2 linked regions of the Caenorhabditis elegans genome follow. The protein of the gene in region 2 interacts with the protein of the main gene of each other region in a pairwise test. Each region holds a gene or a part of one and is shown on either strand. Other genes may lie near its edges.

What was found. The genes of interacting proteins can lie anywhere in the genome.
Region 1: the proteins of C40A11.7 (region 2) and ZK1055.7 interact in a two-hybrid assay, tested with the Caenorhabditis elegans proteins (one large-scale study listed by BioGRID).

The regions. Positions count from the first base shown.
Region 1 is NC_003283.11:6,600,496-6,609,296, forward strand, and holds ZK1055.7 (Protein F37C4.5), read right to left. Parts: upstream 4,881-8,801; 5' UTR 4,879-4,880; coding exon 4,738-4,878; intron 4,694-4,737; coding exon 4,574-4,693; intron 4,529-4,573; coding exon 4,294-4,528; intron 4,241-4,293; coding exon 4,132-4,240; intron 3,676-4,131; coding exon 3,021-3,675; intron 2,734-3,020; coding exon 2,281-2,733; 3' UTR 2,241-2,280; downstream 1-2,240. Other genes in the region: ZK1055.6 (Protein F37C4.5), read right to left, coding at 24-669, 838-1,181, 1,238-1,357, 1,978-2,109; gon-14 (HAT C-terminal dimerization domain-containing protein), read right to left, coding at 6,308-6,410, 6,976-7,488, 7,534-7,626, 7,674-7,840, 8,267-8,334, 8,381-8,565, 8,681-8,751, 8,796-8,801.
Region 2 is NC_003280.10:2,145,824-2,153,541, reverse strand, and holds C40A11.7 (BTB domain-containing protein), read left to right. Parts: upstream 1-2,990; intron 2,991-3,113; 5' UTR 3,114-3,231; coding exon 3,232-3,351; intron 3,352-3,506; coding exon 3,507-3,755; intron 3,756-3,928; coding exon 3,929-4,043; intron 4,044-4,557; coding exon 4,558-4,736; 3' UTR 4,737-4,810; downstream 4,811-7,718. Other genes in the region: C40A11.8 (G protein-coupled receptor), read left to right, coding at 2,607-2,990; C40A11.2 (BTB domain-containing protein), read right to left, coding at 4,878-5,038, 5,118-5,229, 5,994-6,242, 6,460-6,579.

The DNA of each region.
Region 1 (8,801 bases), on a different chromosome or scaffold from region 2:
GAAAATTTGATACAATCGTTCACCTTTGCAACAAAAGCATTGTTCAAAAAGATTGAAGTTTCACCACTCAAAAGTGGCAGTACAGAAGTATTGACTGCTGAAGCTGTCAACAACGCTGATGCATTTTTGGATGGAACACTTTGATGTAAAAGTGATGGTATCAGTTCAATAGTGCCGATAGTCACTTTATGATCGTCTACACCGTTTAAAATAGTCGCTTTCCGTGCGATTCTAAACTCTGTACTCAAAGTGTTCTTTGTGACTTCCATTGGAGGTGGAGCCATTGTTTGAAGTACTTCTTCTACACCATCATCAATCTCGTTGGAATAATTGGACAACATACGAGGCCCACCTCTTCTATTCATTATTCTCAGGCCACGTTGTCGCCTCATCTTTAGTGCAGGTCTGTAGAAGTGAGCATCGAGAACACCTAGTTCAGGAATCTGTCCTCCGAGACTAGGTTGAGCAGTCGACAAAACAGCTGGAAATTCGTTCCAGTCTTCTCCACAATGGTTATAGATCTTTCCGAAATATGTAATAGCCATTGTTGGTTTCTCAGTATCCACGCGAATATCATAAGACGGCTGCCACCCAGCTTGAAAAACCTGATAAGTTATATCCAATTCAACGTCGCCATCTTCGAAAGCTTCAAGTGTAATGAAGACCGTGCTGAAAATTAGACTTCCTGAGTTTCAACAAACATTTTGATACTGTCACGTCCTAAAAAATTTTTCTGGTAAGTTGTAGGCACTAAACAAAGTAGAAATATAAATATTTCAGCGTTTTTCAAACTGTCCTATTGAACGTTTTGATACATAAAGTTATATTTAAACTTACTGAGACATATTGGAAATTCCGCTATTCACTAAGCGATTTAACTCATTTCCAATCTTACTCGCCATTTCAATTGTTTTGAGGATCTCATGCTCTTTCTCCCGCAACTGTTCATTCAATTTATTCATTTCAGTTTCTTGAAAATCTAACAATTTCTGAAGTCCTGTCAGCAGGTTCTCATCAATAACAACACTTCCGGATTCTCTTTTAGGATTCATTATTCCTTTTCCAATTCTTCCTACTGTCCGTTCTAATCCACCTATTTTCTTTTTCAATATATCTCTCTGATCCTCTTGATTATTACGTATTGCATTGTATTTGTCAAGCTCACTTCGCAACTCGGCAATCTAAAATACATAAGTAGCTTCAAAAATCTATGTAACAGGGATTTTTTTTTACTTACCTTCGGGGAGTCAGTTTCTGAGTTTAAAGAAGGGAGTTTTTTAGCGTTCACATCACAAACTGTTGCTTTCCCACGACCTTCAACTCTAATAGAATCACTTTGGAAAAATACAGAGAAGTTCTGAAAATTTGGAGTTTTAAATAAACATTTCATTAGTTTATATATTGTAGGAATTCAATGTTAACTTACAAAATAAGTTACTAACAGTTGTAAGTTTCAATGAAGTTGCAAAGATGCTGCTGAGCTCTAACTTTCTTGGCAACATTTGAAAACTCCCCGACAATGGCTAATGGTCTTAAACGCGAAGAATTTTTAGGTACGGTACGCCGTGAAAATATTTTGATAGCGATTTTAAAGATTTGAAAATAATAATTAAAAAAAAAATAATTATAGAAATCCCATAATATAACTCAATCTATTTTATGAACTTTTAGATTTTTATTGCAAAACTATTATTAGTTCTCCGCGTAACCATTTTGATACACCAAAAAGTCAAAATTTTTGCAAATTACCAGCATTTCAAAAGGTTTCAAAAACAATTTCAAAATAATGTTTAAATGTTCTTTTTAATATTTATTTTATTTGGCTCATTTTTACTATAATTTTTTATATACAACTTTTTCAGAAAGATAATCTACACAAAATGAGTTTTATATTAGTCTTTGTATGTAAATTATTCAAAAGTTGAGATTTAAAGTGTTGGAATTTCAATAAAATGATTTTCAAAAAAAGAAACTCACTTTTAAACAAATCTCACTAACTCCCGCTTTCAAATTAACTGGTACCCGTCGTTTCACTTCAGCTCGGTCACTGAGAATTGTAATTCCACTGATTTCCTGATTTCGAATGTCAAGTTCGTAAATTGATGCCATCTATAAGCGTAGATTATTCGATGGGCATATTATAACTAGAGGTGAAGAAAGTGCAAAAAAAACATTAAAAAAATGAAAACCGATAAAACGGAAATGGGAAAATTGTAAAACAAAAATTTCTGTAAAAGATAGACGACTTCATTTAAGTATCAATTCACTGTTGGATGTACTTTAGAAATTCTCTTGATATTGAACAGTTTCATCTTTTGGATGCTCCACCACATATTTGATGATCAGATCCTTTGAGCTGCTCGGAGCCAGCTTTATAGTCCACTCCAAGTGATTGCTGGAATTGAACTTTGCCCCTTCCACAGGCTCAGAATTCTCGGCTTCAGTGCCAGCCTTCTCCGCATCATATGGCGTAGCTGCTGGTGAAACTAGCTTCACACGGATCTTCTCGTCAGTGCTACGTGGAATCGCATGCTTCACGGTTAGGAGCACCGGCTGCTCATTTCTCGTATTTTTGATGGAGATTGTTTGCTCCGTGACATTTGCAGAGTGCTTGGTGATGTAACCTCCTTCCTCATGGTACTTCTTTGCCGGCTTGTACTCCACACGAATTGCCGTGTCAACTCCCAAAGAGCAAGTGAGTCTTTCACCTGGTGACACGTTTTTCAGGTGACTCTAAAAGTTGGATTTTATTAAAATATACTCAAACTGATTCAATGAGACTAAATATTTTCATATATCATTCATTATACAATGTTTTAGAGGTTTAATGACTTCTAGTTGAGTTTTGACAAATTTCCAAGTTTTGAAATTTTCTTTTTTTTTGTTGAAAGATTCAGATCATTCTTGTATGTTCAGAGTGAAACAAGATTGAATCGATAGAAGAATTCTTACTATTAAAATTTGGTTATTTCAGCAACTTAATTTGTTTTAAATCAATTTTCTCAACAAAAAAATCTTACTGTTGCGACAAATGCATTATTCAGATAGACAGATGAAAATCCAGCCAGGAGTGCAAGTTGAGAAGTATTAACAGCAGAAGCCGTGAGAAAAGCTGCAGCATTCTTACTTGGAACGGATTCATGAACAAGTTTTGGTGTAAGAGTCACAACTCCAATAGTAACTTTGTGTTCATCAGTACCGTGTGGAATTGTTGCTTCTCTGAGAATTTTAAATTCTGTGCTCAACGTGTTTTGGGTGATTTCTGAAGCAACAGCGACAGCCATTGGTGGAGCCAAAGTCACTTCATCTGAAAATCCGAGTGTTTCGGCTCGACGGTTCTGCGGTCCCCGCGCCCCAAATAATGAGGCTGATGCATTCATCGATCTTGTTTGATAATGTTGAACTTCAGGACGACGGAAGGTTGCTTCGAGAGTTCCAAGATCTGGAATTCTGCCAGCAAGACATGGCTGAGCAGTTGACAAAACAAGTGGTGCAGAAGTCCAATCTTCCTTTGTGAATTGACGGATTTTTCCAAAGTATGTAATGCTCATGGATGGTTTCTCTGTGTCAACTCGGATATCGTATGATGGATGCCACGAAGCATCTAACACTTGATAGACTACATTCAGCTCAGCTTCCAGGTCTTCTGTGCATTCCAAAGTAATTGTGGCAGTGCTAAAATTAAGTTATCAATTTGTTGGGAAGATAGGCAAACAGTGATCTTAAATACTACAGCTTAACAATGTCAAACAATAAGACTCAAAAAATAAATTGTTTCTAGAAATAGATGGAAAATCATATGGAACTTTTCTTTATAATATTTCGAATTTTTATTAGGGTTGGATGCTTTTTTGCATATCTTCAAATCTATCTGTAATCCCATTTGTATTTGAAAATAAATAGTGCATAGAAAGCAAAGCATAGCTCATTGTGCGCCTCAAATTTTTATGGGTTTTTTGATAGTTTTTCAAATTTTTTAAATGATTCAAAATTTGGTATGTTGCCAAAAGTTTGAGTTAAGATTAAGAAAGATTTGAAAAGACATATAAAGTTGTTTTTGCCCCATTTTTAGTATATTTTGGTAAATTCCCCGACTGGCACAATTCCACCTTAAACTTTTCAAAAACTCACTGAGAGAACGCTTCTTCATTCAAATTGTGCATTAGAGCTCGTAACTCGTTTTCCAGTTTCGAAACTTTTTCCTGTTGCTCACGGTGTCCAGCTTCAACTGATCGTAGTTCTAGAAAAAAAAATTAAGTTTTTTAAAATCTCAAATTTATCGTTTAAACTCACTTTCTCTGTATAATTCGGAGTTGCTCCCATAGAATTGGAAGAAATTTGTAAGACTTTCCAAAGTTCCTTCATTTAAAGAAGCAACACCATCTTTTGGTGGATTCACGAGACCCCCACCAACTTGTTCGAAAACTTTGTCCAAATTGTCAACGCATTTTTGGACAACCGTTCCGCGATCTGTGATTTTTTGGAGGCGATTTTTCTCCTCTAGAATGGCAGCTTTGAGATTGGTGATCTTAAAAAAAAGAATATATTTTCGAATTTTAATTATCTTGCCAACCTTTGGAGGATCAGCTTCAGTTGGCAAACGAGAAACATTCTTAATAACTACATCATGAATGATTGCATTTCCTCTTCCTTCAACTCTAATTGATCCTTGAGCCATTGTTTTGCAGAGGTTCTAAATTCAAAACTACTTGAAAAACTTGTTCATATTCTACAAACCTTGAGAACAACTTCATTGACACCAGATTTCAATGAAACTTTGACAAGACGACGGATTTCAGCTCTATCAGTGAATACTTTCACCTCGGCAATTTTAAGATCACGAGTCTCGAACTCGTGGACAGATGGGTTGGTGGTCATTTCTGAAAATGACTCTTTTTAAGAGGTGTGTATTTTCAAATATTAGGAATTCTAAAATAACGAAAGTATATATCACGAATTGTTGTTAATCATTAATATCGCTGCATTTCTAAGAATATATAGATTTACGGACGGTGATACAATCTTAATGTTTACTGTAGAAAATCTGGCTTGAAGTTAATTTATTCAACATATTGGTTTGGTATTTTTCTAACTGGTCGTACATTTCTACATTAAATGAACCAATGCATGAAATTTGAAGCTTGTAGCGATCACTATAGCTGAGATCGTGGCGAGACCTACACAGAAAAATAGTGTGCGCCTTTAAACTGAATTTTAAAATTTCAACGAATATACGATATACGCATGAGAGATTATAGCAGTAGTTGTCTAAAGACAAAGATATTTTTAAAAAACATCTGTATTTTGTAAATATTATTAATGTCATATTTGACGCGCAATATATCTCGTAGTGAAAACTACAGTAATTCTTTAAAGGACTACTGTAGCGCCTGTGTCGATTTACGGGATCATTTTGACTTATCATGTAGATATAATTTATCATATTAAGCAAAAATGAGAAAATAATACGAAGAAACGAAGAAAAATAGAGTATCGCTATTTATCACTATTCGAGAATAAATACGTTTCAAAAGTCGAGCCCGTAAACCGACACCACAGCTACTGTAGTTATTTAAAGAGTTACTGTAGCCTTCGCTACGAGATATTTTGCGCGTCAGATAGTCAGATAGCGCATTACGCATTTTCATAATTTTGTGTTGTAATAAATTCAGAAACATTATATAAACTGAAATAACACACTGAAATTTCCAAAACTAAAAAACGTAAAGTTGAATATTCAAAACTTTTCGAAAAGAAACGCGACGAGATGACTAAATTTCATAACGTTGATATCAGTAAAACCTTCAAATCATTTCAAAGAGAGGAAACTCTCTATTTATACCAAAGAGACAGAAAATGTTTCGCAATGTGTTTGTGCTGACTCATTGGAGACTTAGATGCAGAAAGGAAAACGCGATAGGATAATTTTTTTTTTTTTTTTTTCACATAATAATTCACAAATTTTCGAAACGTTTTTTTTCTCCCAAAAATATGAAATACCAGTCAGAGGGTATGCAAAGTTTCTTGCTGGGTCAACAATTCAGAAATGTCAAGGTGAGTTGGGAATACAGAAAAAAAGAAATGATAAGATACTCTTCAGAAAAATTGAGAAAAATAACATGATTGAGAACTATTAAACAGAACAGGGAAGTAAACTGGTCGATGAGAAAAGAAAACGTTAGCATAGTCAATTTGAAACAACATGCGGATATATCGAAACAAGTAGCATAACAAAAACAAAACAATGAAAATACCAACTAGTGACAAATAACTAAAGTGAATTGAGGTACAGATGTATGAGCTGGGATTATTGTGGAGGTTGATGTAGCTGATGGGTAACACCAGTTTTTGTACGAATGAAATACATCTTTTTCGATGCAGTCAGAGGAGTGTTTAAGTTGAAGGAGACTCTGAAAAGTTGAATATATTTAATTTAGGTTAATAATGGTATCAGCAGAAAGGATGTAATTTTATTTTAAAAAATCGAACATTTTGTTTTTCGATCTTTTGGAAAACATTTCATTTTTATGAATAATGTCATTTCTCTGATTTGAGAGATAAATCTATACATACTTTCCTCGTATTTTTTTTGAATAAAATTTTATTTCCAAAAAAAAACAACCGAACAACTTTTTCTATTTTCTATGAGAAATACCGGAAAATCGAACATTTTATGGCGACACCTTTGATACAAGGATGTCGGTTGTTTGATTTCTCACTAAAATTAAAAACCAAAAATTGTTTAATTTTTGAAAAATCGAAAACTTTCAATTTTCTGATATTTCGAAATTTTTTTTTGATTTTTCAAAAAATAGCTCAAAATTCTTAATAATTTCACTGCTTTTTAGAAAATATTCATGTTTTATTATGCTTTCTCATCAACGTAAACATTGATTTAAAAAAAATATTTTCTGAAACATTTTTTTTCGATATTTCAAAAATCGAATATTTTCTTTTTTTAATTGATCAGCTCACGAAGGGGTATTTCTGATAACTCGTAATACTTGACCATCTTTTCCGCGAATCACACTTGTTCCATTGCCTGCCGCAGGTCGTACTGCGTAGTACCTCTTCGGTGGAGGAGCCGATGGAGTCAGTTGTTCAACAATGCCCTCTTTGGATTCGGTTTTAACGACAACAGGCCTCGCGTACGGCGATGATGAAGCAACAGTGTACACTCTCTGAATCTTCTGTCTATTCGCAGCGATTTTTGCAATTTCATCTTTCAGACTTCTTCCATGTGGTGCTTCTCTGTTTGTTCGAATTGTGGGAAACGATTGTAGAATTCGATGCGGTGGAAGTGGGTTTGGATTCTGATACACAAATGGCGTTCGTTGAGGAATCATTCGTTTTGGAGGCTCGTCTGATGGTACATCTACAATCTGTAGAGCTCTCACATCGATTGCATGATACCAAGCATCTTCAGGAGAATTGGCGTCTTTTCTTCGCTTTACGCAAATTGGTTTGCACATCAAAGATCCCTTCGAGCTATAAAATAATAATGAGTTTTGGAGATCTAAGAATTAAAATTACCGATATTCAACTAATTCACTCGCTGCACGAAGTAGCATTTTCCTTTTTGAGATATCTGATTCGTTGATCGAATGTGTAAGGATACCGTACTCTCTGTAAATGTCAACTGTATTGAAATTAAGCGAATAAAATTTCCTAACCCGAGATAATAAGCGGCATCAATCGAAAACGCTGGAATTATGAAAAGCTCTCTGGCATATTTGTACAGACGAGGGAAGCGACCGGCGTGACGAGCCCACCAATCCATGATTCCAGTTTCAACACCAGTAACTCTGCACACATACTGTGAGAACGCATTGACCTCTTTCTGTAAAAATATATACCATAGGAATGAATATCGTGATTTCTAGAAATGTTGACATGCCTTCCTAAAAAAGCGAAGATTTATACAGATAGGTCTCGAAGTTTTTTTTTATATTTCCGGTCACCTTCTCGTTTCTCAAGGAAATTACTTCATTTCTGGCAAATTTTGTGGTTTTTCAAATTTTCTGTTGAACATTGTTTTAAATCAGTTTTCTACATTTTTCCGGCCGACAAAAGGTTAGAAAATCATATTTAAAACCATGTTTAACAGAAAAATAAAAACGGCAAAAATCGCTAGAAACTACATAATAACCGTAAGGAAAATAAACGAGGAAGCAGTCACAAAAATTAAAGAAAAATACCATAAACTTTTTTGCGCGACGAGACCCATCAGAATGAATTCGTGCGCCTTCAAATAATTTTTCCTTACATCTGCAGTTATCGTATTGTCGAATGACGATGGATGTGCAAGAGTGGCTTCAGCTGCTTCACGGAGAGCTGAAATATTATTTTAAATATAAAATTTAAAAGTAGTAAAACCAACATAAATGACTGGATAAATCAGTTTTGATTTTCATCCAGTCGGCTGATGCAAGGAGATCAGAGCCATGACGAAGAGGATGAAGGAACAAAGCGAAGCGATGTATATCTGATTGCTCGACGAATGGAAGAAGAAGTTGATTGAAGATCGTGCTCACAGCGTCAACGACTGTTTGTTTACTCGTGGTGCTGGAAAATTGACGATTCGAAATATTTTTTAAAGTGTAACAATACTATACGGTTACTTAAATATACGGACTATGCTGAGAAACTTATTTTTAAAAAATAAAAATTTATGACTTACACTATTAAAGAGAAACTGATATCTGCAATGGCTGGAATTACGTCCGCAATCGTTGCTTTCACATCGACCATCTGAATTACATACTGTATAATTGTACAAGTTCGGCTCTTTTTACCTCTTT
Region 2 (7,718 bases):
CCACCTTTAAACACGAAAAATTCCGAATGTAACAGTAAAAATTAAAAAATGTTTCTAAATTTTTAATGATTGTTTGAAACTTTGAAAACATTTAAAAAATAAGATAATTATTTTTGATTTCCCATGCAAATGGGTAACGTACTTTGTTTTGTTTTCTGGCTAAATGCATTGCTTAAAAAAATTATCTTCGATATTATTTTTCCGCGAAGAAAACTTGATAACTTGAAAGAAATTCATAAAAATAGATAATTTCACCTGAATTATTATTGTTTCAAAGGAAATAAAATGTCTGAAAAATCAGGAAAATCTAATCACTCATTTGCGCGGGTATTCACAAAAAAAAATTATCAAATTATTTTAATTTTTAATTTGATTTCAAAATTGATAAAAAAATCATTAAAAAAATTTATTCACATTTAAATTCCGTCATCACCGCCCATTCTCTGCCATTTAAAGAAAATAATCTGCAAATACGCGTAAGGAGGAATTCTTATCAGTTGTACAAATGAAATATGTGGCTGAAGGTTCAAACATTTCAATTTTTTCTATAATACTCAAAGTTGTAAAGAGTTTTCTGTTTATTGATAGAGAGCCTGACCCTTTTAGTTTTGCATTAAAGTTTTTTGTTACAGAACCGGCATACTAATTTTAGTATTACAGTAAAGGGTATTTGTGATTTATATTCCTACATTTAATTTTAATTAGTAACTGCATCATTCATTTAAAATGTGAAGAGTATTTTTATTGTAAAATATTTAGTAAAAAATATTTTCAAAAGTATTGAAAAAAAAATGAGCATGAGCAGATGAAACTCGTTCACCTGCAAACCTATGTTTAAGACACTGCAATGAATGGAAAGAGTAATTTCTTATCATCAATTCTTCCTATCAGTTACATACAATAATTTAAAGCGCTTTTCGACTGCCGCAAAATATTGATTAAAATTCGAGAAAAATGAATGTTTGTGATGAATCAAGTTGTGAGAATAATCGGATAAAAATTTGAAATCACTGTGAACCTAACGTTTCACAAAATGAACACTTGTTTTCATTTGAATTTGGTGAAAAAACTTACGTAACTTCAGAAACTAATCAGCTACGCAAACTTTGAATAAATTTTCTGAAAGTAAAACTTAAGATCATGTTTTAAGTTTTTTCATAAGAAAAAAAAAATACTTTTTCGTTGAGTTGGAACAGTTTGAATATGCAAAACTACTGTTTTCAACTGAAAAACGCAAAATTTACTTCAATACTTTTAAATTCTCAGTGAGATTATGATATTCGGTCGTTTAAAAAAAAACAACAAACCAGTATAAAATGGCGACTGCGGTGATTTTCAAGACATTTCTAATCTCCGTATATGTTCCCATCAGAATGTACAGCGAATGGGCAAATGTGAGTTGTTGTTTACCGGTAACCTTATAATCTGAAGCCGAGGAAAATTCAAGGAAAATTTAAAATTTATTTTCGGAAAGAGCATAGTCGAAAACCTATTCCGGTGAAATTTCAGACAAGTTGTGCATATAGTTTTCGATAAAACTTCAATTTAATCAAGATTTTACACTTTCTGCTTTTTAAAAATAATCTGGCACGGTTTGAGCACATTTTTGAATGGTGCGGTGCGGACGCGTTGCGGTCGCGTTAAGGTGCGGTTGCGTTGCGGTTGCGTTGCGGTTGCGTTGCGGTTGCGTTGCGGTCGGATTTTACAACTAACTTTAGCATTGAGATTCAAACTTTAAAAACTCGATTTTTGAGTTTTCCGTCAATTTTTCTGAAATTTGAAACCCGTAACGACTATTTTCAAAGAACTTTGAAATAATTTAGTGATGCGGCGCGGTCGCGTCGCGGTCAGACTTTTCAATTAACGTTAGCATTGAGATTCAAACTCTAAAAACTTGATTTTTGAGTTGTCCGTTATTTTTCTGAAACTTGAATCTCATGTTGATTATTTTCGGTAACTTTTGAAATTTTTAGTGGTGCGGTGCGGTCGCGTCGCGGTCAGCCAAATTTTAGTATTGAATTTATTTGATCTTTTTCTGGGTTTTCAAATAATCTAGCACGTTATTGTAGTTAATCTAAATAATTCAGAATGTTTTGACTAAAAACAAATTTCTGACAATGTTCTTAAAAAAAATGTGTTCTAATTTTCTCGTGGTGCTGTTTGGTCTACAAAAATGCGGGAAAATTTTCCCCAAAAAGTGTGACGTCAGCACGTTCTTAACCATGCGAAACCACTTGAAAAATCTGCGTCTAAATTCCCGCATTTCTGGTAGATCATAACGAAATGGGACATTCTGACACCACGTGATTTTATGGAATTTTGTGAAATGAGTTATTCATCAACTGAGAATTTTGAAAATTTTGAATAAAATTATAATATTTTCAGTTGAAAACTATAGTTTTACAAATTCAAACTATAATATCTCAGAGCCAAATTTGCAATTTTTTTTTGAAAAATTACCAAAAGTATGCCCAAATGTTTCACTTTCAGAAAGTGTATTCAAAATTTCTGTAGCTTATCGGATACTTAAATTACGTCAATTTCAAAATTTTCAGTTACTCGTCTGCGTCGTAATCGTTGCTATCGAGTATTACCTACATATAATAATGTTGGATCAATTCAATGAGCCATTCACGCCCACGCACTACACTCTACTGAAAAGAGCCAAGGCAACAACTGCTCAGAAGCTATTCATAATTATTTTCATGGCCTTAACCGAGGCCTATTACATAGGCCGTTGCTTCATCAGCCTGGTCCCCTGGGCAGATCAGGAGGAAGCCTATGAGATTCGCGATGTAACCCGATTTATCCTTCCGATCATCAATATCTTATCGATTCCCTTGATCTACGTGGCTTGCTTGGCCTATTACTCTGAAGAGGTTGCGTTTAGCGAGATGGTGCCCGACAATATGGTGCTGAGGAGAGGAGTGTGTAGTTGGGAGAGGAAATCTCGAAGATGGATATATGAGGAGACGATTTTTAGTTTTTAGTATGTGGTTTAAAATTCATAGGTTTTTTTTTAATATTTCGTTGATTGTGAGCTATATCTACATATTTCCTTGTAACGGAATAAATAATTAAATAATTTTTCACACAATTTTGGGAAAACTGAGGTCACCTTTCCCGAGGTGCTCAGAGGAATGCGATGAGCAGGTCGTCAAAAAAATCGATAAAAAGCAACAGAAGGAATCTTCTGTAACACAAGGTATTCATTCTTTGTGACTACTCAATATGTGCTCTTCTGAGACAATTGTCAAGTTGAATGTCGGCGGATCTGTATTCGAGACGTGGAAATCGACACTGACCAAGCAGGATGGATTTTTCAAAACATTAGTCGAGACGAATATTCCGGTTAGTTTGTTTCTTTTTTCGCCAACTAGGAAATCATGTCCAAAAATCAAGTCTAAGTCCAGTCCAGGCCGGTTTGTAAGCCTATATATTCTTAGTGAAATCATTTGTGGCCCGTTCTCCAGATATAACAAAAAAGTCAAATTTTTCAAATTCAGGTTAAAAAGGACACTTCCGATTGTTATTTCATTGATCGCTCTCCAAAGTACTTTGAAACTGTGCTAAACTACATGAGATCCGGTGTTACAGTACTTCCAGACTCTGAAAAAGAACTACAAGAACTGAAAAAAGAAGCCGAATTCTACTTGTTGGAGCAGTTGGTAGACTTGTGTGAACCTATAAATAATCAAATCCGAACTTATCGCTCGTCTCATGAATTGCTGCAAATCATCGCCAGCACCAAGAAGGTAGGTGTTATTTATTTTCCCATATGTATATATATATATGTATATATTTCAGTTTCAGTTATATATATATATATATATATATATATATATATATATATATATATATATATATATATATATATATATATATATAAATATATGCTATTTTAATATCATTTTGATATCATTTTCAGCCAGTAGTTGTGATTAACTACATAACCCATAATAACGATATCATATACATCCCAGAAGGATTTCGATTCGATGAGTTTGTTAAGAAAAACAGTTCAGTGGTAGAAATCTATTTTCGTGAGTTTTTTGGATTTTTTTCGTTTTCGGAAAATTTTAAAAAAATCATTAAAATTCCGAAAATTGTAAGTTTTGAGGATACTACACCGGCCTGTAAATGTGTCTCTTTGGCGAAAACTAGCATAACTTTAGAACCTGATTAGCTACAAAAATGTCAAATATATTTTCTGAAAGTTAAATTTACAGAGATATTTTTGGTAATTTTTTTTAAAAAGTGCCATATGTTTTCTTAGAGATATAACAGTTTGCATAAATAAAACTACTGTTTTCAACTGAAAAACGCAAAGTTTACTTCAATTTTTAGAAATTCACAGTGACAACCGTAATTTTTATTTTTGATTTTAATATAGAAAATGACACAATTGACTTATTTTTTAAAATTTTATAAAAATTAGATTAAAAAATTTTTGGAAAAAAATTGACCTAAAAATGTTTTTTCATCGCAATTTGTTGAAACATGTCTGATTAATTTATTTAGCGTATTTGTAACAAATTACTTAAAATTATTTTGCAGAACCAATGGATAATCGAGAACCTCTGCCAAAAGATTTAAGGAGACATCGCGGAATGAAATATTACCCTGAACCAGTTTGGAGTTATCGCATCTACAACAGTACGCATTCAGGTTGCGTTGATTTAACAGCTATGGATGATCTACAGAAGAAAATCGATAGTATTTTGAACGGAGAATGAATACCCACATATTATTTAATATTTCAAATGCATTTATCAAATTTTTTACATTTGTTTTATAATGAAAATTCTCGAAAACTTCTCAAAAAGGTACGGCGGCGTCTAGAAGTGATCAACATTTTATTCATAAATTCCCGATTTTCACAGCCTCCCATTAATATATTTCTCCAATTTATCAAAATTTGTAAATGTTTTAAATCCTTTAATCGGAGAGTACAGCCGATAAATCCATGATTGGTGACCTTTATTGACTCCATCTTCACGCCGAGATTTATCAGATTCATCTTCGCATTCACATTGTTCTGAAAATCACTTGTAAATTATTCGACCAATCAGCGCCCGGCCACGCCCACTTTTCGACCAATCAGGTCAAAAACTCACTGAAATAGACATCCAACTTTGGATTTTCGAGAACATATTGAAAATTGAAGGATTCTGGAGAGTTCCAGAGGTGATCATTGTGAACTGTATAGCTGATCACAAGAATTGCTGTCTGAAAAAAAAAATATTTCGAAAATTTGAATGAAGCGCCAAAATTTTCGGCTATGATCATTTTGTGGGAGGAGCTTATCAAGCCCTGCCCCTTTCTTGGTCAAAAATTTTGTTGGGAATCAAAACTGCGAACAAATTTTGACGTTATCTTATAACCCCCGCCCACTCAGTGGGCGGAGCTCACCCCGCCCGCCCATTTAGTGGGCGGAGCCAATCCCGTCCCGCCTCTTTAGTGGGCGGAGCTTGTTAAACCACGCCTCTTATGTGCTCCAAAATATTTCAAGGAACTTGATTTTTGAATTTCGTGCTAAACATTTTAAAGTCTAGAAGAGAACAATTGGGTGTGGCTTATTAAGCTCCGCCCACAAATGGGCGTGCCTAAAAATAATTTTAAAAAATTTTTTAAAGAAAATTCTATAATAAGTTATGAACATTCAGAAAGTTTCAGAAAGTGCCAGAACATTTCATAAAAATTACAAAATCAGCTGAAAACTGTCAGAAAGTTTCAATGAGCCCCAGAACATTTCTGAAATTTTTTCTGAAAATTCTATAAAATTTTTTAAACATTTAGAAAGTTCCGGAAAGTTCTAGAAAGTTCTAGACCATTTTAGAAAAATTTATAAAAGTTATTGAAATTGCTGAAAAATTTCAGAAAATTACAAAAAAATTTTCCAAAGTTAATTTCGTCACATGAACTACGGAGGCCCAGCTTACAAAAGGGGCGTGGCCTCTAAAGCCCTGCCCACTCAATGACGTCATCTATACCTTTTTGCAGTTTGCAATAATATGAAGAAGCTCCTCCGAAGTTTCATATGACCGAATTTTAAGAAAAGAATCACATAGGTCGACTAGACCGTCTAAAAGGTAAAATTCGGCTTCTCTTCTCACTTCTTGCAGTTCTCGTTCAAACTTTGGAAGTTCCACGTCATCACCTTCTTTCAGATATTTTAGAATCAGGCTGAAATTTTTCGGGGACCGATCCACAAAAATGCACCCGGATTCGTCGATTGAGACCTAGAATGGAACATCTCTGAAGTTGCAGGAAGTTCTAGAAAATTCCAGAAGCTTTGAGAAAGATTTCGAAAGTTGTAGAAACTTACAAAACGTTCCAGAATGTTTCAGAACATTCTAGAAAGTTCCAGAAAGTTCCAGAAAGTTCCAGAATCTCTCAGAAAAATTAGGAAAATTTTAAAAGTTGGAAAATTAAATAAAAAATAAAATTGAAAGTTACCGGAATATCACTTGTGAGCATAGTTTTGAAGAAACCATCAAATTTAGTGAGCTTCAGTTTACACGTCTCGAATACCGTACCACCGATATCTAGTTTAATGGGCTCAACTATGGAATCCATTTTGGAAATCGCTGAAAATGAGCGAAATTTGAGGAAAATTGCAGAAAATTGTAGGAAGCTGTAGAAAGTTGCAGAAAATCTGAGAAAGTTGGGAAAGTTCCAGAAAAAAAAAAAATTTTTCAGACAGTTTCAGAACATTTCGAAAAAAAACTCAGAAGACTTCAAACATTTTTTTTCGAAAGTCTAGCAATTTTCTGGGAATTTTATAAATTTGCAGAAATTAAAAAAAAAATCAAAACTTTTCGGAAAACTTCTGAAAGATTCAAAAAACTCTAGAAGTTTTCTGAAAAATTTTAGACATTTCTTAGAGAATTTAGAATGTTTCAACAAAGTTAAGAATGTTCTAAAAGATTTGAGACATTTCAAAAAAAAAATCAGGGAGTTTCAGATAATTTTGTAACATTTTTAAAAAGCTTAGAAACCTTCAGAAAGTTCCATTCCGGTCAACGTTTTGGAATATTGCCAAAATTTTGAAAAATATGAGCTGTTGAGGAAATTTAAAGAAATGTCGCATTTTTCGACCCCTACAATGTTTTGATACAAATAATTTAAACAAAATTAAAACATAAAAAATGTAGAAAAAAATTGTTTTTTTGGTGGATTTCCAAAATTATGAGTGGCAAAAACCGAGTAATTGCCACTTTTTGGCAGTAAATAAAAAATTTTCAAAAATTTTTTGAAACGTTTTCTTATGATATTTGGCCATTTTGGAACCAAAGGGACTTAAGTAGCAATCACAAATTATCTAGTTCAGAAACTGCCAAAATTTTCAAAAAAAAAAACAGATAATTTTAAAAAATTCCAGAAAATTTGGGATAATTTTTTAGAAAATTACAGGAAAACTTATTATGTCATAGGAAAATGGAGAGAGTTCAGGTAAATTAGAGAACATTTTCACCAATACCAGATTAGCCAAACGTTGCTCTCCCGCCGTACTTACTGTGAGCAGATGGTCAGGAAAAATCGATGAGCTCAGAGGGGGTCTCTTACACACTAACGGTCAGATGAACCCAAACCCGGACCATTTTCTTCCATTGAGACGCAGACAGGTTAAGACATCCATCAGACAAATGAGTACGTTAAACTTTTATTGAAGTAAAGAAAATAACAATTTCCAAATTAAGGATCAATTTTCCATT